Linked DNA regions of Anolis sagrei. The protein of the gene in region 3 interacts with the protein of the main gene of each other region in a biochemical or structural test. Links are inferred from orthologs where the notes say so. Each region holds a gene or a part of one and is shown on either strand. Other genes may lie near its edges.

What was found. The genes of interacting proteins can lie anywhere in the genome.
Region 1: the proteins of GTF2B (region 3) and GTF2E1 form a complex in vitro, tested with the Homo sapiens proteins (2 studies listed by BioGRID). The link is inferred for Anolis sagrei from reciprocal best matches to the Homo sapiens genes GTF2B and GTF2E1.
Region 2: the proteins of GTF2B (region 3) and GTF2F2 form a complex in vitro, tested with the Homo sapiens proteins (2 studies listed by BioGRID and IntAct). The link is inferred for Anolis sagrei from reciprocal best matches to the Homo sapiens genes GTF2B and GTF2F2.

Annotation. Positions count from the first base shown.
Region 1 is NC_090022.1:165,541,597-165,549,459, reverse strand, and holds the start of GTF2E1 (general transcription factor IIE subunit 1), read right to left. Parts: upstream 3,632-7,863; 5' UTR 3,521-3,631; intron 205-3,520; exon of another isoform or gene 26-204; intron 1-25. Other genes in the region: RABL3 (rab-like protein 3), read left to right, coding at 3,736-3,781.
Region 2 is NC_090023.1:144,294,039-144,302,534, forward strand, and holds the start of GTF2F2 (general transcription factor IIF subunit 2), read right to left. Parts: upstream 3,632-8,496; 5' UTR 3,507-3,631; coding exon 3,441-3,506; intron 1-3,440. UniProt on the Homo sapiens protein: TFIIF is a general transcription initiation factor that binds to RNA polymerase II and helps to recruit it to the initiation complex in collaboration with TFIIB.
Region 3 is NC_090024.1:151,969,379-151,977,366, reverse strand, and holds the start of GTF2B (transcription initiation factor IIB), read right to left. Parts: upstream 3,385-7,988; 5' UTR 3,313-3,384; coding exon 3,296-3,312; intron 1-3,295. UniProt on the Homo sapiens protein: General transcription factor that plays a role in transcription initiation by RNA polymerase II (Pol II). Involved in the pre-initiation complex (PIC) formation and Pol II recruitment at promoter DNA.

The sequences.
Region 1 (7,863 bases), on a different chromosome or scaffold from region 3:
AAAATATGGAACAAAGATTATTTACATTACTGTAAAAGAGATGATGAAGACATCTGTATCTTTTCTCAGAATCAGAATAGAGGCTGGAGTCAAAAATGAAAAGACTACAACTTGGAAAAATGAAGGAACTAGACCACAATTCAGAACTAGCCGGCATGAGTCCCTCTTCGGAGGTCGAGAAGACTGGGTTATAAAAGCTCTAAATAAATAATAAATAAAACAATAACTTGAATTGTTAAGATATATCACTGAACACTAAAGATAAAGTATTCCATGTCATTGTACTTCTCGTGTCCATGTATGATTGTGAAGATAGTTGACAGGAAGAAAGTCAATTCATTTGAAATGGGCAGAGTTCTACAAATACTGCGGACTGTTGAAAAGACAAACTGGTTCTAGAACAAATCAAATTTGAACTCCCTATAAAAGCCAAGATGACTAAGGGCCATGAGAAGACATGGCTAACTGGAAAAGAAAATAATGCTTAGTAAGGTAAAAGGCAGTAGGAAAAGAGGAAGACTCCATTACAGAATTGGGCCATGCTGGAAAAGCACAATCAAAGTACCTTCGACAGATGGCCATTCAGCCTTTGTTTAAAAGCCTCCAAAAAAGAGGCAGAGTTCCACTGCTAAATAGCACTTACATTCAGGAAATTCTTCCTAATATTCACATGGAACCTCCTTTCCTGGAATTTGAACCCATTGTTCCAGTGAGTGCCCAACTCCAGGGCATGTCTGCTCCCTATTCCTTATGATATCCTTTCACATATTTATCCATGGCTATGATGTCTCCTCTCAACCTTCTCTTCTGCAGGCTAAACATCCCCAGCTCTTTACGATGCTCTTCATAGGGCATGGTCTCCAGACCTTTGAACATTTTAGGGCCCTTCCACACTGCCCTTCATCCCAGGATCTGATCCCAGATTATCTGCTTTAAACTGGAATGTATGTGTCCCCAATGCCAGATAAACTGGGATCAGATTCTGGGATAAAGGGGCAGTGTGGAAGAGCCCTTATAATCATAGAATCCTAGAGTTGGAAGAGACCTTATGGGCCACCCAGTCCAACCCCCTGCCAAGAAGCAGGAATATTCACTTCAAAGCAGATAATCTGGATTTTATATGGTAATGTAGAAGGGGCATGGGTGAGAGGAATAACAGGAACACAGAGGGGAAATGGTTTAACTCAGGCATGAGCAAACTTGGACCCTCCAGGTGTTTTGGACTTCAACTCCCACAATTCCTAACAGCCTACCAGAGCAGTCTGGCTTTAGGCCGGGACATGGTACTGAGACAGCCTTGGTCGCCTTAGTGGATGATCTTTGCCGGGAACTAGACAGGGGGAGTGTGTCCCTGTTGGTTCTGCTGGACCTCTCATCGGCCTTCGATACTGTCAACCACGGTATCCTTCTGGGACGCCCGCGGGAATGGGCCTTGGGGGTACTGCTTTGCAGTGGCTCCAGTCCTTCCTCGAGGGTTGTTCCCAGAAGGTGTTACTAGGGGACTCCTGCTCGACCCCACGGCCATTGTAATGTGGAGTCCTGAAGGGTTCAGTAGTGTCCCCTATGTTATTTAACATATACATGAAGCCGTTGGGAGAGATCATCCGGAGTTTTGGGGTTCGGTGTCTTCTGTACGCAGATGATGTCCAACTCTGTTACTCCTTCCCACCTGCTACTAAGGAGGCTGTTCAAGTCCTGAACCGGTGCTTGGCCGCTGTAGCGGACAGGATGAGGGCGAACAGATTGAAATTAAATCCAGACAAGACGGAGGTACTCCTGGTCAGTCGAAAGGCCGAACAGGGCATAGGGTTACAGCCTGTGATCGACGGGGTTACACTTCCCCTGAAGACGCAGGTTCGCAGCTCAGGAGTGATCCTGGACTCATCGCTGAGCCTGGAACCCCAGGGGAGCTTTTGCATAATTAAAACTTGTGCGCCAGCTGCGCCCGTACCTTGGGAAGTCTGACTTTGCCACGGTGGTCCACGCTCTGGTTAGATCCCGTATAGACTACTGCAATGCTCTCTACATGGGGTTGCCTCTGAAGACTGCTCGGAAGCTGCAATCAGTCCAACGAGCGGCAGCCAGATTACTAACAGGAGCGGGGTACAGGAAGCATATTACTCCTCTGTTGCGCCAGCTCCACTGGCTGCCAATTAGCTTCCGAGCACAATTCAAAGTGCTGGTGTTGACCTACAAATGCCTAAACAACTCCGGCCCAGTTTCCCTATCGGAACGGATTCTCCCATATTTATTTATTTGGAGTGCTTCTACCCTGCCCTTCTCAACTCAGGGCGGCTTACAAAAATAGGTACAATTCGATGCTCAACAATTCACAAAGTACAATATACAAAATACAATATAACGACGTTATAACTAGTTAAAACAATCAAATTAATACAATAGCAGCAATAAAATCATCTTGTGGTCAACGTTCGCCAATTCATACATTCATAATCCATCCAGCATTGTCATTGTCCTTTTCTACTCTGGTCATCATTGTCTTTTATCCATCTGCCAGCTTACCCAAAGGCCTGGTCCCAAATCCAGGTTTTTAACTTCCTCCTGAAGGAGAGGAGGGATGTTGATGACCTAATTTCCCCGGGGAGTGCATTCCACAGGTGAGGGACCATCACCGAGAAAGCCCTGTCCCTCGTCCCCACCAGTCTCACTTGTGATAAAGGTGGGGCCGAGAACAGGGCCTCCCCAGAAGATCTTAAACTTCCGAGGTGGGATGTGGAAGGAGATACGTTCGGACAAGTATGCTGGGCCGGAGCCGTAAAGGATTTTGTAGGTCAAAACCAGCACTTTGAATTGTGCTCGGAAGCTATGAACCTTCAAGGTTGTTAAGATCTTCTGGAGGGGCCCTGCTCTCGGTCCCACCATCCTCGCAATCGCGTTTGGTGGGGACGCCTTTTTGGTGGTGGCCCCTTGGCCCTGGAACTCTTTCCCATTGGAAATTAGAACTGCCCCTTCCCTCCTGACCTTTAGAAAGTTGGTGAAAACCTGGCTTTGGAATCTGGCATTTGATGAATGAGGCAATGACTTTTGACCACACGGACAGATGGGGACGCATAGTGATTTTTATACTAACGACTTGCTTTATATATGATGATAGTGCTTTAATGTGTTTATATTAGTGTATTATTGATGTGATGTTTTTAAACTATTGTGCATGAACTCCCTTGTTGTAAACAGGCCTGAGTCCCTCGTTGGAGGTGAGAAGACCGGTATATAAAAGTTCTAAATAACACCCCCTCCCCTTCTCTGTCCAGCTCCCCTTTTAGCCTCCGTCCGGATAATGGCATAGTTATACCCAACACGCGTGCAAGCTTCTTGCCACAGGTGACCACACTCTCCCTGCTGCTTTTCTTCCTGAGGCAGATGTATTCTGGCCCGCCGCCATCCGAGTGTTTTCCCTTGAAGAGCACAGAATAGCAACACAAGCCCACCAAGCTACTCCCTCAAGAAAGAGGCCCTCGGGGCAGGCAAGGGTTGGAGCCGGTACAGCCCTCGGACTGACCTGTGAGGGACCCAAAAGCCAAGCTCCTTCGCCGCGAGACCCTCAGCGCGCGCGGGCGTGCGTCACGACTCTGCCTCCAAACACGATTCCGCTTGACGTCACTACTAAGCGACGCCTGGCGTTCCTCGCGCCTCCCCGCTCCTTCCTCGGCCAATAGGAAGGAAGCGACTGGCCAGTGGGCGGAATAGGAAGTGGCTCTTGGTCGGCGAGGAGGGATGGCGGCCCTGGAGCGGGTGAAAGTGCTGGTGCTGGGCGACTCCGGTGAGTGGAAGGGAAAGGGAAGGAATCACACTCGCCATGACGCTTCCAGGCCGCAAGCGTTTCCTATGTTGCAAACTGTGTTCCATAATGCTTGTAAGGGTTTTAATCACTTGGTTTTTAAATGGTACTAGTATTACAGGCATGGGCAAACTTGGGCTCTCCGGGTGTTTTGGACTTCATAGAATCCTAGAGTTGGAAAAGACCTCAGGGGCCATCCAGTCCAACCCCCTGCCAAGAAGCAGGAATGTTGCATTCAAATCACCCCTGACAGATGGACATCCAGCATCTGTTTAAAAGCTTCCAAAGAAGGAGCCTCCACCACACTCCGGGGCAGAGAGTTCCACTGCTAAACGGCTCTCACAGTCAGGAAGTTCTTCCTCATGTTCAGATGGAATCTCCTCTATTGTAGTTTGAAGCCATTGTTTCGTGTCCTAGTCTCCAGGGAAGCAGAAAACAAGCTTGCTCCCTCCTCCCTGTGGCTTCCTCTCACATATTTATACATGGCTATCATATCTCCTCTCAGCCTTCTCTTCTTCAAGCTAAACATGTCCAGCTCCTTAAGCCGCACCTCATAGGGCTTGTTCTCCAGACCCTTGATCGTTTTAGTCGCCCTCCTCTGGACACATTCCAGCTTGTCAATATCTCTCTTGAATTGTGGTGCCCAGAATTGGACACAATATTCCAGATGTGGTCTAACCAAAGCAGAATAGAGGGGTAGCATTACTTCCCTAGATCTAGACACTATGTTCCTATTGATGCAGACCAAAATCCCATTGGCTTTTTTTGCCGCCACATCACATTGTTGGCTCATGTTTAACTTGTTGTCCACGAGGACTCCAAGATCTTTTTCACACGTACTGCTCTCAAGCCAGGCATTGTCCCCCATTCTGTATCTTTGCATTTCATTTCTTCCTGCTAAAATGGAGGAAAAGTTTACTATTTATTTATTTATTTATTTGCTTCACTTTTATACCGCATATTTCAGCCCTTGACAGGCGACTCTATGCGGTTTACAGTGCAATTAAAAACACAGCAATAAAACAACCGGGATGACAACGTCGCTCCACAATTAACATCAGACAGACAAATCAACAAACAACATATATAGCGCCTTCGTTAAAGTCAGATCCATTCTCATAGTCATTGTGCCGTTCCTATGTTCAGTTACCGTCTTCCTTAGTTAGTTGCATTGCCTAGCCAAACGCTTGTTCGTAAAGCCAGGTCTTGACCATTCTCCGAAACGCCAGCAACGAAGGTGCCTGTCTGATGTCTGCTGGTAAGGCATTCCATAGCCGAGGGGCCACCACTGAGAAGGCCCTGTCTCTCGTCCCCGCCAAGCGCACCTGTGACGCAGGCGGGATCGAGAGCAGGGCCTCCCCAGACGATCTTAATATTCTAGTCGGTTCGTAGGCGGAAATGCGTTCGGAGAGGTAAGCGGGGCCAGAACCGTTTAGGGCTTTATAGGCCAAGGCCAGCACCTTGAATTGAGCCCGGTAGCGGATTGGCAGCCAGTGGAGCTGGCTCAGCAGAGGAGTGGTGTGCTCCCTGAGTGCCGCTCCTGTTAGCAACCTGGCTGCCGAGCGCTGGACCATCTGAAGCTTCCGGGCCGTCTTCAAGGGCAACCCCACGTAGAGCGCGTTGCAGTAATCAATCCGGGATGTGACCAGAGCGTGGACCACCGTGGCCAAGTCCGACTTCCCAAGGTACAGGCGCAGCTGGCGCACAAGTTTGAGTTGTGCAAATGCTCCCCTGGACACCGCCGAGACCTGGGGTTCCAAGCTTAGCGAGGAGTCCAGGATCACACCCAAGCTGCGAACCTGCATCTTCAGGGGGAGTGTAACCCCGTCCAACACAGGCTGTAACCCTATACCCTGTTCGGCCCTCCGACTGACCAGGAGTGCCTCTGTCTTATCTGGATTCAATTTCAATTTGTTCGCCCTCATCCAGTCCGATACAGCGGCCAAGCAACGGTTCAGGACCTGAACAGCCTCCTTAGTAGTAGGTGGGAAGGAGTGACAGAGTTGGACGTCATCTGCGTACAGATAACACCGCACTCCGAAACTCCGGATGATCTCTCCCAACGGCTTCATGTAGATGTTAAATAACATGGGGGACAATATAGAGCCCTGCGGAACCCCACAAGTCAATGGTTGTGGGGTAGAGCAGTTGTCCCCCAGCAACACCTTCTGAGTACGATCCTCTAGGAAGAACCTGAGCCACTGCAGAGCAGTGCCACCAAGGCCCATTCCCGCGAGGTGACTCAGAAGGATACCGTGGTCGACGGTATCGAAGGCCGCTGAGAGGTCCAGCAGAACGGATTAAGCTAAGATGGATTAAGCTGTATTTTGATTTGCATTACTGAATTCTCTATCTTCTGAACAACTCTGATGCACTCTTTTGTGAGACTACTGCAAATGTTATCCTTGAGATGAGTCACTTTTCAGGATGTTTCTTTTATCTGTGATTTTCTCAGGTTGGGCATACAACATGAGGAAATACAACATTAGGATGCTGTGCATACAACATTAGGAGGCTGATTTTGTTGTTGTGTGCCAATAAAGCAGACATGAGCAAACTTGGGCTCTCTGGGTGTTTTGGATTTCATCTTCCACCATTCCTTACAGCCTCAGGCCCCTTCCTTTCTTTCCTTTGTTTATTTATTTCAAACTCCTGCTTCTTGGCAGGGGGTTGGACTGGATGGCCCATGAGGTCAGAGATGGCCCTAGGTAATTTTCAATGATAAGCAAACAGTATTTTGCCCCCCCCCCCTCAACCAATCACTGATATATATTTTTTGTTCGTGGGAGTTCTGTGTGCAATATTTGGTTCAATTCCATCATTGGTGGAGTTCAGAATGCTCTTTGATTGTAGGTGAACTATACATCCCAGTAACAACACCTCGCATATGTCAAGGTCTATTTTCCCCCAAGAGCCCCTCAAGAGCGCCCTTGGGCAAAATCAACTATACTACGAATGCTTACTTTGCATAATGGGTTGAGCCGCCCCTGCATGTGGTCTCTTCCAACTCTATGATTCTATGATATGCAAAACAAATGGTTTTTCAAAGTGCATGATACATACAATATGCAATATTGTATTGCAATATACAAAATGCTGAGATCTTGGCTTCTACAGCAAGGTTTTGCAAAGAACTCCAAAGGGTATACTGTAAACTTCCCTGTTACACTCTACTGATTGTAGCAAAGAAACATTTGCTTTTAATGACACATGCAGTGCACCTACATATGGATTCTTCCTTTCTTCACACACATACATCTACGGTAAACTTAGTACTGAGCCTCATAAAAACTTACCCAGATTTCTATAAACCTTTACAAAATCTACCCTAGTGGGATTTTTTCTCATCAGGGTCACTTTTCAAAACAACAACTCTTCTTTCTCAAATAAAAAGTAAACCTTCAAGAAATACTATCCTTATTACAAAACCGATTTTTGTGGGAATCAGTGTGCAGGTATAAAACAGCACATATACAGTATCCCACATATTGCCTTTGATTGATAATACTATCAATATAACAAAATTTGAAAAAAAAATCTGTTCCTTGTTTGAAAGTGTTATTTCCTGTTTCATTGTGTGGTGCTTACTTTGAAACTAGTTGTTATACTCCAGAAACTTTATGTGGCTGCTGCAAACTATGTTGAATTAGTTGAGACTCTGAGATATTCATGGAAAGACTATAGCAAAATCTGCTGCAGGATGTCCCATAAAAACAAATCTATATTAATAATCATTTCCTATGGTTTTATGATGGAGTCAATTAGGAACAAAACTCATGTTATGTAGTGTAATTATATACAGTTGTTTATATACAATTGTTTCATCTGAGAGAATAAACAAAATTACAAACTGCATCAAAGCCCTTCAACTTCCTTTACTATCCTGAAGACTATGTCTTGCCGAGTTATCGGTTCCCAAGTTGACCAAAAAGAAGGAAACCTATCAGTCTCTTTGTTACATCACAGATTTTTGCTCTTAGGGGATAGCACACTTCTGAAGTCACCCCATTAGACATGCAAACCGCTTCATCTGTTCCCCTCAGCAGGGATCACGTGCCACCATC
Region 2 (8,496 bases), on a different chromosome or scaffold from region 3:
GTCTAAAGTGCTATAGTGCCACACCTCACAGCAGCTTATTGGTTTGGGACCAGTTGATAGCTTATAATGACCCAGGCGTTCTAAAGTGCAGGATTAAAGTGCTAGAAATTAAAGTGCTAGGTGGTTTTCTATGGCTCAGATTCTAATAGTACCATAGAGTCTCAGTGATGGACTAAAGTGCTCAATAGTTCAATAACTCAAAGTCAGTGCCCACAGAAGAAACCCGATGTCATTCAACTAGGATGGGCAGTTAGAACCATAGGGCCCAGCTTCTAGGGCCCGTGGACAGCAAGCCGGCACCCCTTGGCCTGGCCCCTAGTTCTTCTTGACTGTCCCAGTGGAAAGCTGATGAAGCTTAATGGGGGTTGGTCTTATATATTGCAGGCAGTGACTCCAAGGAGACAGTTTCTAGCAGCTGTGTGGAGTGATATCAATTGCACCTCCAGCCAAAGGGGGCGATGTTGCAGGAGGTAACAGGATTTCTGTTGCTATGAGTTCTGGATGGCAGCAGCAGAACACTGAGCTTCTAGGCCTTCCGGTTGTTGCTTGGGCCCCCACTAATGGAGGAGTGGCGATGTTTATTCCGGACGCTAGTGGCGCGATGGAAAATGTCCCGCGTTGACGATGAGATCCGGATGGCAAGGAAGCAGTCAATGATGGAATTCCACTGTTGGTGGCACAACTCAGCCAGCAGAGGGCCGCTGCTATTGGTGATGGGGGCCGAGCCGATGCAATACAATGGCAGCGCCGAGCCAACACAGCTCCTGCACTCCGGCCACCACCAGATGGAAGCACGGAGGGATCCGAGCAGCGCGTTCTCAGCGGGGAGGGAGGAGTGCGCGGCGGTGGGGCCTAGCAGGCCCGAAGGAGCGCTGGAGAGTCTTCTTCCTTCTCCCCTCCCCTGGACCGGCGGGAGGGAGGGGCTCGCGGCGGCGGGGCCTAATGGGCCCGACGGAGTGCTCGAGGGCCTTCTTCCTTCTCTCCCTCCCCCGGACCGGCGGGAGGGAGGGGCTCGTGGCTGCGGGGCCTAGCAGGCCCGAAGGAGCGCTGGGTGTTAATACCGCTGGCGGCGTCGGCGGCGACGTCGGCCGTGCCTGGGATGATAGGCCACTCCCGGGCCGTGCCTGGGATGGCGGGCCCGCTGCAGTCTACCCTCAATAGCCTGGAGGTGACTCCGCAACGGGCTGTAGTAAGGTGATAGGTGGTGGCAGCAGCGGTGATGGTGTCGCGAGGAACCGCCACGGTTAGATCTTAAAGGCTTGAGGGAGGCGGCTGCATTGTAATGGCAGCGCTCTACCTCGCTCCTCCTCCTCCTCCTCCTCCGTTCTCTTCTTTAGGGTTAATCTGACCCCCGGACCTTTTTCGGGCCTCTTTCGGAACCCCTGATTGCCCCGGGCTCCCTGGCTGGGTCAGAGGGGGGGATTGGGGGGGAGGATCACCTTAGATTTCCTCAGATTGAGAATCCCCATTAGCGCAGCTCAGGATCTTGTTGCTTCTTATAGGCTAAAGCTAGCACTTTGTACTGTGCTTGGTAGGAAACTGGCAGCCAGTGGAGCTGACGCAGCAGGGGGGTTGTATGTTCCCTGTACCCCGCTCCAGTGAGTAATCTGGCTGCCACCTGTTGGACCAATTGAAGCTTCCGAACAGTCTTCATAGGCAACCCCAGCGTGTTGCAGTAGTCAAAGCCAAAGTGTACAAGATGGATTGTACAGGAGAAGGTGATCCTTTAGGTGACGTGGACCCAAACTATGTGGGGTTTTAAAGATCAAAACCACCACCTTGTACTTTGCTGGGAAATTAATTGGCAAAAAGTGGAGTGACTTTAGGATAGGTCAGGAGAGTGGGGCTTGAATTGAGATACACGGCTTGTGAACAGGATGCCTGGCTTTAAAATGTCTTTTCACGTTTCCCTATCCCCAGAGCTGCAAGTGCTGTTGGGTTCAATTCCCATCATCCCCAGTTCACATGGTGGATAATTCAAAGTGGTGAGAGCTGTCGTTTAATGACATCTGGGGACCTGAACTGGGCAACAAACTCAAGCTCACTATAGGTTGTTGTAGGTTTTTCGGGCCATATGGCTATGTTCTAGAAGCATTCTCTCCTGACGTTTCACCTGCATCTATGGCAGTGCTTCTCAACGTGGGGGTTGGAACTCTTGGGGGGGTCACGAGACGGTTTCAGAGAGGGGGGGTCACCAAAGTCCATCTGAAAACATATTTCTGATGGTCTTAGTAACCCTCTTGGAGAAAAGGCTGAACATATGTCTGCCTATCCTTCTTTTCCTTTTTTGGTGTTGGTGAACTACAACTCCCAGAATTCAAAAACAGCTTGCCCCAACCCCACCAGTATTCAATATTGGCCATGTAGGTAGTGTGCCAAGTTTGGAGCAGATAAATTGTGGGGTGGGTTCAGAGTGCTCCTTGATGGTAAGTGAACTATAAATCTCTGCAATTACAACTCCCAAATATCAAGATCTATTTCCCCCAAACTCTACCAGTGTTCACATATTGGGCATATTGAGTATTCGTGCCAAGTTTGGTCCAGATCTGTCACTGTTTGAGTCCGCAGTGCTCTCTGGATGTAGGTGAACTACAACTCCCAAACTCAATGCCAATGCCTACCAACCCTTTCCAGTATTTTCTGTTGGTCATGGGAGTTCTGGGTGCCAAGTTTGGTTCGATTCCATTGTTGGTGGAGTTCAGAATGCTCTTTGATTGGAAGTGAACTATAAATCCCAGCAACTAAAACCATTCATAACAGTAACAAAATTCCAGTTATGAATTAGCAACGAAAATGATTTCATTGTTGGGGGTCACCACAACATGAGGTACTGTATTAAGGGGTTGCGGCATCAGGAAGGTTGAGAACCACTGACCTATGGCCTCACAACCTCTGAGGATGCTGTCTATAGATGCAGGCGAAACGTCAGGAGAGAATGCTTCTATCAAATGGCCATATAGCCCAAAAACCCTACAACAACCCAGTGATAAAGCTCACTATGTTAAAAAAATATAGTTGGCCCTCTGTCTCCACAGACTTAAGGGCCCCTTGAAGGCAACCACGAGGCTGATGTGGCCCTGGGTACAAGGGAGGAAGAGGAACAATGCAGCCCCTCTCCCTTGACAGTCTGGCCTTCCAAGAGCGCACTTCTTGGTGTCCTCCTTCTCTAAGCACTCAAGGGCTCCATTGCAGATCATTCCTGCTTCATGACTGGGACTGAGCCCCCTGAAGTCTTGGCTGTCACCACCTCACTCACCCTCTCTCTCTCTCTCCCTCAGGCACCGCCATGCATTCATACAACGAGTGAGGGGCGGGGAGGGGGTGGGCAGCCTTGGAGGCCACTTTCTCCACACTGCGCCCTGTTTGGCAACTTTTGTCCGCCATTTCCCGGAAAGAGGAGGCCTCTTCTCTCCCTCCCTCCCTTCCTCCCTCCCGCTCACCTTGACGAGCCACATGCCCGTGTTCTGCTTGGCCCCGGTCAGGTCCAGCTCCCCCTTCTCGCTCATGGCGGCCCTCTTGCTCTCCACAACGGCAGCTACCCGAGCAGGAATCGACAGCACACTCGCGGCTTACGGGGGCCGACAGCGTCCAAACCTCCGCCTCCGTCCCAAACGCGTCTCTGGCTGCGCGCTCACACCTCCTCGGTGGGCGTGGCTTGTTCGAGAGGCCCCGCCTACGGGGAGGCCAGGGAGAAGAAAGGCCAGGGCAGGACTGATGGAGGCACCTGTGATTGCATAGCTGCATAAATAGAAGTCAAAATATGTATGCGTGTATTTTTCAGGAGGGAAGGATATTAGAGGCCAAGATGAAGTATTTTGGCCACATCATGAGAAGACAGGAAAGCTTAGAGAAGACAACAATGCTTGGGGGAAATGGAAGGAAAAAGGAAGTTGGATGATGGGCAAGATGGATGGATGGCATCCTTGAAGTGACTGGCTTGACCTTGAAGGAGCTGGGGGTGGTGACGGCCGACAGGGAGCTCTGGCGTGGGCTGGTCCATGAGGTCACGAAGAGTCATAAGCGACTGAACGAATGAACAACAACAAAAATTTTCAGGATGGCTCCCTCACCCAGAGAGTCGCATGACCAGCAATGAGGGATCTGGACCAAATTTGACACACAGACCCATCACACCTATCTTAAAATAGTGAGGTTTTTGGGAGGGAAGTAATGGGGGTTCTGCCCGTGGCACAGCGGGTTAAACCGCTGAACTGTTGAACTTGCTGACCAAAAGGATATTAGAGGCTAAGACGAAATGCAAAGATACAGAATGGGTGACGCCTGGCTCGAGAGCAGTACGTGTGAAAAAGATCTTGGAGTCCTCGTGGACAACAAGTTAAACATGAGCCAACAATGTGATGTAGCAGCAAAAAAAGCCAATGGGATTTTGGCCTGCATCAATAGGAGCATAGTGTCTAGATCCAGGGAAGTAATGCTACCCCTCTATTCTGTTTTGGTTAGACCACACCTGGAATATTGTGTCCAGTTCTGGGTACCACAATTCAAGAGAGATATTGACAAGCTGGAATGTGTCCAGAGGAGAGTGACTAAAATGATAAAAGGTCTGGAGAACAAGCCCTATGAGGAGCGGCTTAACGAGCTGGGCATGTTTAGCCTGAAGAAGACAAGGCTGAGAGGAAACATGATAGCCATGTATAAATATGTGAGAGGAAGCCACAGGGAGGAGGGAGCAAGCTTGTTTTCTGCTTCCTTGGAGACTAGGCCGCAGAACAATGGCTTCAAACTACAAGAAAGGAGATTCCATCTGAACATGAGGAAGAACTTCCTGACTGTGAGAGCCGTTCAGCAGTGGAACTCTCTGCCCCGGAGTGTGGTGGAGGCTCCTTCTTTGGAAGCTTTTAAACAGAGGCTGGATGGCCATCTGTCAGGGGTGATTTGAATGCAATATTCCTGCTTCTTGGCAGAATGGGATTGGACTGGATGGCCCATGAGGTCTCTTCCAACTCTTTGATTCTATGATTCTATGAAAGATTGGTGGTTCAAATCTGGGAAGCAGGGTGAGCTCCCATTGTTAGCCCCAGCTTCTGCCAACCTAGCAGTTCAAAAACATACAAATGTGCATAGATAAATAGGTACCACCTGGGCAAGAAGGTAAAGGCGCTCCATGTAGTCATGCCGGCCACATGATCTAGGAGGTGCCTATGGACAATGCTGGCTCTTGATGAGCCCCACACCCCCAGAGTCAGACATGACTAGACTTAATGTCAAGAGGAAACCTTTACCTTTTCCTGATGGGGGTTGCACTCCACCCACATCCAGAGACCACTGTGAAACCCACCAATGATGGATCTCAACCACATGTGGTACACACAGACCCATTAATTATTATTTATACATCACCTTATCTCTGCCGCAGGAGATGCAAAGCAGTTAACATAAAAACATCAGCATACAATTGAAAATATTTATAAAACTTTATTTCTGTCTCGCCCTGTCTCTCAGTGAGGGATCAGGGCAGGTTACAGTTTACAAGATGGGAACTACAGTATCTTCATTCACTTCTTGAGACCATTCCTACCCACACCAATGACTGATCAAGAGCAAACTTGGCACATAGAGCCCCCATGACCCACTCTACTTCCTGGCATGGTTTGTTAGATGATGGGCCATCGATGATGGGACTTGCGGTACCTTCACCCACTTCCTGAGAACACTGAGACCCACACCAATGACTGATAAAGAGCAAACTTGGCACATAGAGCCTCCATGACCCACTCTATGTCCTGGTGCGGGTTCTGGGCTGACAGACCATGGATGATGGGACTTCCAGTACCTTCACTCGCTTCCTCAGATCACAGTGCCACATACCAATAACTGTTCAAGACCAGAGCCCCCGTGACCCATTCTGCATCCTGGTGCAGTTTGGAGGAGGATGGGCCATGGTCAATGGAACTTCCATATGGAAGCTGTAGTTCACCTGCAACCACTGAACCCAGCCAACATTGGACCTAAACTACACTTGGAGCACAGGCAAACAATGCCGTTCTCAAATAACCTGGGCACCGCCAGGTCCCCAAGCTGGTAATAATAATAAAAACAGAACCAAACGTTAGACATTGTCATAACTATACCAATATACAAATATTAGAACAGCATTAAACATCAATAGGTGGCACAGTGAGTTAAGCCGCTGAGCTGCTGAACTTGCTGATCAAAAGGTCACAGGTTCAAATACGGGGAGCGGCGTGAGCTCCTGCTGTGCATGCAAATGTGAGTAGATCAATAGGTGGGAAGGTAACAACGCTTCATGCAGTCATGCTAGCCACATGACCTTGGAGGTGGCTATGGACAACGCTGGCTATTTGGCTTAGAAATGGAGATGAGCACCAACTTCCAGAGTCAGACACGACCAGACTTAATGTCAGGGGAAAACCTTTAGCTTTACCTTAAACATCATTAGTATTTTTAAAATTTCAAATTAAATCCATAAAAACATATAAAAGCAGGAAGAGGGCCATTCTGCCTTCCTTGGGAAGAAGGGGGTTCCAGAGTTGATGGACAACCACTGAGAAGGAAGACCTGCTCTTCATTTCTATCAACTGAGCTTGAGATAGAGGTGGAAGTAAGAGAAAGGCCTCTCCTGGGGATCTCAGGGCCTGGGCAGGTTCATACAAAGGGATGTGATCAACCAAATAACCTGAACTTGAACCGTCAAGTGCTTTGAAGTATGCCCCGTAACAGACTGGCAGCCAGTGGAGCTACTGGAGGTGGGACCGAGAGAAGGGTTACCATCATGACCATATGTTGGTGGGGATTGGCCCAGGATGATGGCAGCTGTGCTCTGTCCACATCCCAAGATCCTCTTGTATCCCACATCCAGAGAGCCATATCTATTTCTAACAGCACCATTCATAAAACCCCAAATCAAACAATAAACAGCATGCAAAATACCTAACCAGACCACACTGGGTCCCCAGGGCTTTTGGGCTTGTTAGAATATGATTGATATAATCCAGTGGTTCTCAACTTGCGGGTCTGCAGATGTTTTGGCCTTCAACTCCCAGAAATCCTAACAGCTGGTAAACTGTGTTGTCGAAGTCTTTCATGGCCGCAATCACTAGGTTGCTGTGAGTTTTCTGGCTGTATGGCCATGTTCCAGAAGCAGTCTGCTCTAATGTTTTGTCCTCAAAGGATGCTTGCTATAGAGGGTATTTATTTATCGTATCAGGAGCAAACCAAACAGTTGTATTACATTATTAAACAAACAAAAACGTCAGGAGAGAATGCTTCTGGAACATGGCCATATAGCCTGGAAAACTCGCAGCAACCTAGCTGTTATACTGGCTGGGATTTCTGGGAGTTGTAGGCCAAAACACATGTGGACTCACAGATTGAGAACCACTGATTTAATCCCTCCAGGAATGTCCAGGCTCCAGCTGGTTGCAGAAATGAACCCTTTCAAAAGATGGAACCATAGGGCTTTCACAACTGCTGAACTTGTATTAATTTTAAATATATATATATATAATAGAAATTATGTTTAATTCATTATTTTTTGGAGGGGAGATAAATTTTTCAACAACAATTTTGATAATGGTTATCTTATACAATGAACTTATATTTGCTTACATATTTTTCTATCCATAAGGATCCTTATTCATATTTGTTTGCTACCAGGAAAATATCCATTAGGCGTAGCAAATGGGTGGTCTTCCAAGTATTCTTGGACCATGGTCCCCATCATCTGATGAGGAAGGCTAGCTAGGGCCGTCAGGAGTTGGTATCTAACATCTGCAGGCAGCAAAATGTCTAGACTAGTGCTTTAATATCAGGTATTGGTAACTTTCCTCCCAATGAGCCAGGGACTAGTAACACAGCTGTGCCCCTTGGCATCTGGAAGGATGAGCATTATTCCTTTGTATTTCAAGGGCACTCATGGTGAAGCATTTTTAAAACTGTTTCCTAAGCAACGGAACAATCACATTTCATACATTAAATAAATGTCCCCAGACAATAATTATTTTTGTGTTTTAGCACAAGATTCAAACTAAACGTTTAGTTAATGTGTGGTTATTGACTAAATTTTCATTTGAGGACACTCAAATAATCTTTTGTTAAAAAGAGACACTTAGAAATCAATTCTTATCCAGTTTTGGCACATAACTAATGCTATGACCATAAACCAGTGCTTTCCAATCTTTTTTTGACAAGGGACAGGCCTGTAGCCAGGATTTTGTTTCGGGGGGGGGGGGGGGCTGAGTTTGGTTGGGGGGGGGCTGAGTCTGAGTGATAGAGGGTCTGCTCTAGCAAACCTTTTGTATCGTTACCCCAATACCCCCATGCATATGGGATATATTGAGCATGGTGATCAGATCATGATATGAATAAACATAACAGTTTAAATAATGTACTAGTAAGGCCTTCTCGCGGACCACCATGAGAATTTCGGGGGGGGGGGGCTCAAGCCGCCAAGCCCCCCCCCCCCCCGGCTACATGCCTGATCATGGACCACTTGACCAGGGACCGCTTTGACCA
Region 3 (7,988 bases):
CTACTTATCTAGGGCAATTGCACAAACTACCAGCAATGTGGTCATAATAAGGAAAGTCAGACAGCAAAAGATGTTGCTCAGCAGCAATTTTTTATGGATATGAAATGTAAGAGTTCATTGTTTTCACAAAAGCAGATTAGATATTAAAAAAACACACCTCTAAATATACTTGATAGTGCTTAGCAATGCACTAAAATGACCTGACTAGGAAGTTATATCACATTGTCTTCATTTAGAAATTGTACCTATAACGTCATTCATCCCTCAGAAAACACAATCCACATGTGAGTTCTGCTTATCTGTTTAATTCTCCAATGCCAGACACGGGCTATTTAGAAGATACAGCAATTCTATTTTCTTGCAATGACTTCAATTCTGGAGACTTGATTTTTTTATAAAAATCAACCTGGACTGCATTAACAAAAGAGTTTTTAAAAAGGCCAGGATAGTGACAAAGGTTTTTAAGCAGGATCCAAGACAGATGTTAGAAACTAAGTCTAGCAGCACTGCTAGTCCTACAAAAAGCATTATGTGAACTACTTCAGTTCCAATGTATGTGAGATGCAACTTGCAAGTTGATTCCTGCCTTTGCTGAAGTGTTAGTCCCCATCTAGACTGTCATATAATGCAGTTTAACTGTATTGAACTGAGTCTACATTGCCATACAATGTGGTTAAATTGCATAATGAAATTGCATTATTTGGCAATATAGATGGGACCTTAATCACTAAAATAAGTGAGTTCTGAGATGGAATGACTGAAGGGAAGGCTAGATGACAGATGAAGTCACAGACTTGGGCAAAGATCACTACAAACCAGGTTAAGGGGAAAGGTTTCCCCTTGACATCAAGTCTAATCAAGTTCATTTCAAAGCGAAGTACTGGCGTTGTCCATAGATGCCTCCAAGGTCATGTGGTCAATATGACTGTATGGATCGTTGTTACCTTCCTGCCAAAGTGGCACCTACTGATATACTCACATTTGCATGTTTTCGAACTGCTGGGTTGGCAGAAGCTGGGGCTTGCAATGGGACTTCACCTTGTCCCATGGATTCAAACCTCCAACCTTCTGGTCAGCAAGTTCTGCAGCTTAGCAGTTTAACCAGCTGCACCACCAAAGCCCCTAGAAACCAGGTTACCATTTCTAAAAAAAACAGTCACAGTTGCTATCCTTGCATTACCCAGATACTAAAACATTAGTACTGTGTAGTGTTTAAATTAAAGTTAGACTCTCAAGAAACTGACAATAAAATAATCAAAGAAATAAAAAGATTATAAATAAAACTAAAATGAATTCAATTTTAGCAGAAATGTAAGTTTAAACTTGGCACCATAATCCCACACCAAAAATGTTTTAAAACATATGTTACTGACCTTCATGAAGTTAAAAATTTACTGTTTGCCAATTAAATTAAAATACATACTGCCTTCACAAAGCTGTTTCTATGCTGCAGTAAAATAAGTACATTGAACTTGTCTTTATTTCCTTCTAATTACTGTATTTTAATTTTAATATCAGTTTATGGTATGGTGGATAGCATTCGTTCGGCTTGTTTATAATGATAACTCTAAAGCAGGCATGGGCAAACTTGTGCTCTCCAGATGTTTTGGACTTCAACTCCCACAATTGTGGGAGTTGAAGTCCAAAACATCTGGAGGACCGGTGTTTGCCCATGCTTGCTCTAAAGTAACCAGAAACTACATTTATCCAGCATCTACCAATCTCCATGGGTGTCAATTAGCAGAGAATCCACTGTACAGTAAACGTAATAATCATTGTGATCATTTCTGTTTTGTTTTGAACTCTCTCTCTCCCTTAAACTCTGTTGTTGGAAGGCCAGGAAATCTCTCATCAGCTGAAAGCATTAGTCACCTTTTACTGTACTTCCTTCATAACAGAGAGGCCTCTACAGGCTCTTCCCCACCTTCTCAGAAACTTTATGGAAGAGCCCCCAGTATTACGAAAGACTGTCTTGTTAAACACGACGTGTAACAAAGCCACACACAAAGGTAAAATCATTTTTTAAAAGGAAAGGGGTGAGAGTCAGATAACCTTTTATCTATATAAATAAAAATGTAATGTTAGTTTGTGGGATTAACAGAACTCAAAAACCACTGGACGAACTGACACCAAATTTGGACACAAGACACCTAACAACCCAATGTATGTCCTTCACTCAAAAATTGATTTTGTCATTTGGGAGTTGTAGTTGCTGGGATTTATAGTTCACCTACAATCAAAGAGCATTCTGAACCCCACCAACAATGGAATTGGACCAAACTTGTAACACAGTTCTCCTATGACCAACAGAAAATACTGGAAGGGTTTGGTGGGCAGTGTCCTTTGGTTTTGGAGTTGTAGTTCACCTACATCCAGAGAGCACTCTGGACTCAAACAATGATGGATCTGGACCAAACTCTACAGAAATACTCAATATGCCCAAATGTGAACACTGGTGGAGTTTGGGGAAAATAGAATCTTGACATTTGGGAGTTGTAGTTGCCGGGATATATAGTTCACCTACAATCACAGAGCATTCTGAACCCCACCAACGATAGGATTGGGCCAAACCTCTCACACAGAACCCCCATGTGGCCCACAGCAATGTGTGGCAGGGGACGGCTAGTATAATCTATATAGATAAATATGTAATGGCTGTGGGATTAACATAACTCAAAAACCACTGGACGAATTGGCACCAAATTTGGACACAATACACCTCTCTGGCCAACGAGTGACCATCACTCATGAAAACACTGAAAAACACAGATGAATACTTTAAAAGCCAAACAATAAAAAAAAACATTACAACGTATGCACATAAATACACACATACACACACACAAAGCAGACATACACAGACTGGGCCACAGCAATGCGTGGCAGGGGACGGCTAGTAATATAGTATGCAATTAATGTAAGTTGCCCCAAGAATGGCGTCTAACAGCCTTGCCACACATCCAAAATATGGGTTTAAAGGAGAAAGGCCTAGGGGTGTAGCCACACCACAGAATTACAGCAAGTTTGACCCCTCTTCAACTTCCACGGCGCAATGCTCTAAAATTCTGGGGTTTGTCATTTACGGGGGCGCCTGAGCTCCCTGACAGAGAAGGCCAAACACCTCCCAACACCCGAAATGCTATAGTCTGAACCGTGACACTGGAAGCAAGAGTCAGGCCGAAGTCTTTCCAAGCGGACTCCCTTCCTCCCCTTCCCCCGGATCAGCCGCGCTCTCCCTGGTCCGCTTCCGGGGGAGAAAAACCCATCCAAACCCCTTCTAGCTTCTCCCACTGACCGGCTCGTCGACGCCATCTTGCTTCCTCTTTTGCCGCGGCGCCTGCGTAGCGTTGGGCGGCGCCCCTTTTATGCCTTACGCTCCGGTGGGCGGGGCTTGGCGAAGGCCAGCCGCTACGGCGAGTGGCGTGGAACAATTGTTTTGCAAAGGCAAAGGAATGGAATGCGAGCCCAAGCTCCTCCCCTTTCCCACTCATTGCGAGGTTGTCATTTCAAGTCCGGTTTCTCTGCCAAGTTTGTGATCCACTTAAAGTGAATTCATTTTCTAGTGTGATACAGAGCCTGGTCTTTCCTGTTGAACGAATATTAGTGATGTGCATTCCTTGGATAGCTTAGAGCAGACTTTGGATTGGTCCACATTTGCAACAGTTTTGGAAGTGTCCCTTGCCAAAGGGTCTATAGATCAGGCATGGGCAAATGGAATAGTGTATCCAAGTCTGGGGACCACAGTTGAAGAGAGATATTGACAAGCTGGAATGTGTCCAGAGGGGGGGGGGGGGGGGCGATTGAAATGATCAAGGGTCTGGAGAACAAGCCCTATGAGGAGTGGCTTAAAAAGCTGAGCATGTTTAGCCTTCAGAAGAGAAGGCTGAGAGGAGACATGATAGCCATGTATAAATATGTGAGAGGAAGTCATAGGGAGGAGGGAGCAAGCTTGTTTTCTGCTGTCTGGAGTCTAGGACGTGGAACAATGGCTTCAAACTACAAGAGAGGAGATTCTATCTGAACAAAAGGAAGAACTTCCTGACTGTGAGAGCTGTTCAGCGGTGGAACTTTCTGCCCCAGAGTGTAGTGGAGAGTCCTTCTTTGGAAGCTTTTAAACAGAGGCTGGATGGCCATCTGTCAGAGGAGTGCTTTGAATGCAATTTTCCTGCTTCTTGGCAGGGGGTTGGACTAGATGACCCATGAGGTTTCTTCCAACTCTATGATTTTATGATTCTATGATTCTACATTCATTAACTACTGAGCCACCCACTTAAGAAATGGCAATCTACTGTGTTCATCACATGAGGTAAGCTTCAAGTGTAGGGTAGAGATATCTTGGGGATAAAAAAGCATTGCAAAGGGTTATCTAGCCGAGGGGCCTTCTCCATTGTGGCCCCTCAGCTTTGTAACTCACTACCTAGTGAGATTAGGCAAGACCCCACCCTGGCAGACTTTAAGAAAGACCTAAAAACCTAGCTCTTCCAGCATGCCTTTGACTTCCTCCTTCCTTGCTTGCTTGCTTCCATGTGTTGTGTGTGCCATGTGTTACTCACCCAGGCACCTTCTTCCCTCCTCCTCCTCTGGTTGACCTCAAGAGCCATCCCCCTTCTTTCTGCCATGTAGCAAAAGCACAATCAATCAATCAATAATAATAACAACAACAACAACAACAACACTTAATTCATATTCTACCCGATCTCCCCAAGGGGACACAGGGCGGATCACAGTATACATACACGGCAAACATTCAATGCTGTTTTGGATAGAAAATACAGAGACTGACAAAACAGAAGGAGGTATGTTGTGTCAACATCAAAGTCCATTTTTTTCACGCCTTGGAAGGTTGTGCTTGAAATCTAGCCATGGGAGTGCTGTCACTCCATCCTCTATGACGAAGAGCCATCAGGACTTCCTCCTTCCCTTTGGTCGCCCAGCATTTTCTGATCTTTTTTCTTTAAGGTGTCGTAAAATACCTCCCCTGCTTGTTTTAGCGGTAAGCTGTTTTCAAACTGCTTAGGTCAACAGTAAGCAGGCTTGACAGTCAGCAGCTCACACTGACCCAGGTATTTGAACTGGCAACTTTTTGGTTGGTAGATCTTCTCATTGCTGGTGATTTACCAGCTGTGCTAAACCCCAGCCCAAAGCACCCCTGTTCCATCTCCCAGGAGCATGAGTTTTGCATTACCTTTTAGTTGCTGGAAACAGCCTCTCCTTGTGTTTATCCCAGGCTGCTGCAGCCTTTGCTAGGCCTAAAAGGTTAGCAGACAGAGGCAGGAAAGCCAGTTTGCAGGCTCTCTGCAATGATTGGCCAAAGAGTAGCTCTTTGGGCCCGCCCCTGTTTCCAGTGTAGAAGCATCCATTTTGGAGGTCTCCCTGCCCCTTCAGTCTTAAAGAAGAATCCATGATGTGCTGTTGGCAGACAGGTACCTCCAAAGATACCATTGTAAAAACAATTGAGACCGATAGATAGATAGATAGATAGATAGATAGATAGAGTCATAGATAGAAAACAATTTTGATTGAGTTATTTAGTTAGAGATAGATAGATTAAAAGAGAACTGTTTAGATAGTTATAGAGGATTATCTAGATAGTTATAGAGATACCCTTTTTGGAGAAAGTTATACCCTTTTTGGAAAAAGATTGCCTCAACTATTGAACCCCAATTGACTGTTTGTTTTGTAATATTGATAAGCTGAGCCAAGTCTACCAGGACTTCGTGAATAAATACCCTGTTTGATGTTTCAAACTTGAAGTGGACTCAGTTATTCAAGAAAGCTCAATCTTCTAAAGAAAGACCCCAGCAGTTCGCCCAGACCTAGATAGCAGCACGTCAAAGTTTTATTTTAAAGTGTCTGGGCGTAACGGCACAACCCCTAACAGATGGGCATCCTGCATCTGAATAATAATATTAAAGAAAATATGTTCCTAGTTACAAGTGTTATTTCCTGTTTAATTGTGTAGTCCTTACTTTTGTTGTGCTCCAAAAACTATGTTAAATTGGCGGAGACTCTACATGATGTTCAATCATTGAGAAACTAGAGCCAAATGTGCTATAGCAGGATGTCCTTGCAAAGACTAAGTTTTTGCAGTTTAATCATATTTTCCCATGTGTTTATGATAGAGGTAAATGTAAAGGTTTCCCCTAACATTAAATCTAGTCGTGTCTGACTCTGGGGGGGGGGGGGGTGTTCATCTCAATTTCTAACCCAAAGAACCAGCGTTGTCCGTAGATGCTGTCCTGCGGATTTGAACCACCGATCTTCTAGTCAGCAAGTTCTGCAGCTTAGCAGTTTAACCTGCTGCGCCACCGTGGAACCAATTAGGAAATTACATTTATAACCCAGGAATAAAAATCATAGTCCCATTAGAGGAAGTGTTCCTTTTCACCAAGAAAACAGGGGACAGTGAACGGGATCCACTCTATACAATGTGATGGCAAATCAACTGAGAACTCCTGAATAAAACAGATAGTTTGCTAGTGTGTGATGGAGGCAAGAAAATCATCCATTTAATTTCAAAACAGAGTATCTCTCAGCTGTATGGTAATCTACTCTTTCAAACACTTGACATGTTCAGTGGGATTACCTCTTTAATGTAATTTGACACCACTTGTCAAACTCCCTCCTGGGCACACAGAAGACTGGGCGACTTGAAAGATGCTGAACAGATTGCACTCTGGCACCACGAGATGCAGAGCCAATCTTAAGAAACTGGTCTACAAAGTGGAGTCCATGACATGCGAGTGTGGAGAAGAGCAAACCACAGACCACCTATTACAATGCAGTCTGAGCCCTGCCACATGCACAATGGAGGACCTTCTTACAGTGACACCAGACCCACTCGAAGTGGCCAGCTTCTGGTCAAAGGAAATTTAGTATAATGCCAAGTTTTAAACTTTGTGGTCTTCTATACATTATAACTCAATTCGCTTCTGACACAATAAATAAATACGACACCACTTGAACTGCCATGACTCAGTGAGAAAATCTACTGATCATGGGGAAATGACAAGCCCAGACTCTCTTCAGTGTATAAGACAAATGAAAACAGCTCTTTGTGTAAAAATTATGACGGAGTTTCAAATTTAATGATTTGTTCAATCAAGTCAACTTTACATGTTATAAAATTGACATTACTGAGTAGATACTTGAGGACCATTTTTGTAAAATAAAAATGCAAAAATTGAAGGGACAGTAACATATCCAGCTACCCAGTGAGAAAATGTAGTTATCATGGGGAAATGACAAGCCCACACTCAAGGAATCATACTGATCTCCAAGCCATTTCCCTCCAAAATCAGTATCATCTATGCAAAATCACTGTCCATAGAATCTCTTATTTATTCTAGCTACAAGGCCTTTGGCATGATTAGTTTTTGTATATATTTCTACCACAATTCTGTGCAACACCTGCTCAAAATATACTGACTTATAACTGCATTAGCTGCTCAGAATGTTGTTGTGCTATTTACTGAACTTACTCAAAGGTTTGAATATTATCATACATTCATTTGCAGCAAGCCCATCTTGAAGAGAGAAAACAGAACACTTCAATATCAGATTGACTTATTGAAGATGCGCAACTTGCAGCTGGAGCTGGAGAACAAGTTCCATAGGTCAAACCAGTGCCGCCCAGTTCATGGAGATCCAGACCCGAAAACCAGAATCCCCCACAGCAGGTCGCCAGAGGAGCCCGTCTCCTCTCTTGAGCCCGGTCCCTCCAGAGGAGGCCACAGGATCCGACTGCACTGATGTGGAGGCGAGAATTCTGCAAGGAAAACATCATGGACTGCAGGAAAAAGCAACTGTGCCGCCTCTCCAGGAAGGCAAAGGGACACCAGTGGAGGCAGCTGAGTCGGAGGATGAGGAAAGCTTTATCTTTGACATGTCACGGAAGATCAGAAGAACAAGGAAGGCTTTGGCTGCTGCTGCCCAAACTAAGGATCCATCTGAGCAGGAGGTGAACGAATGGAATGACCAGGTGGATC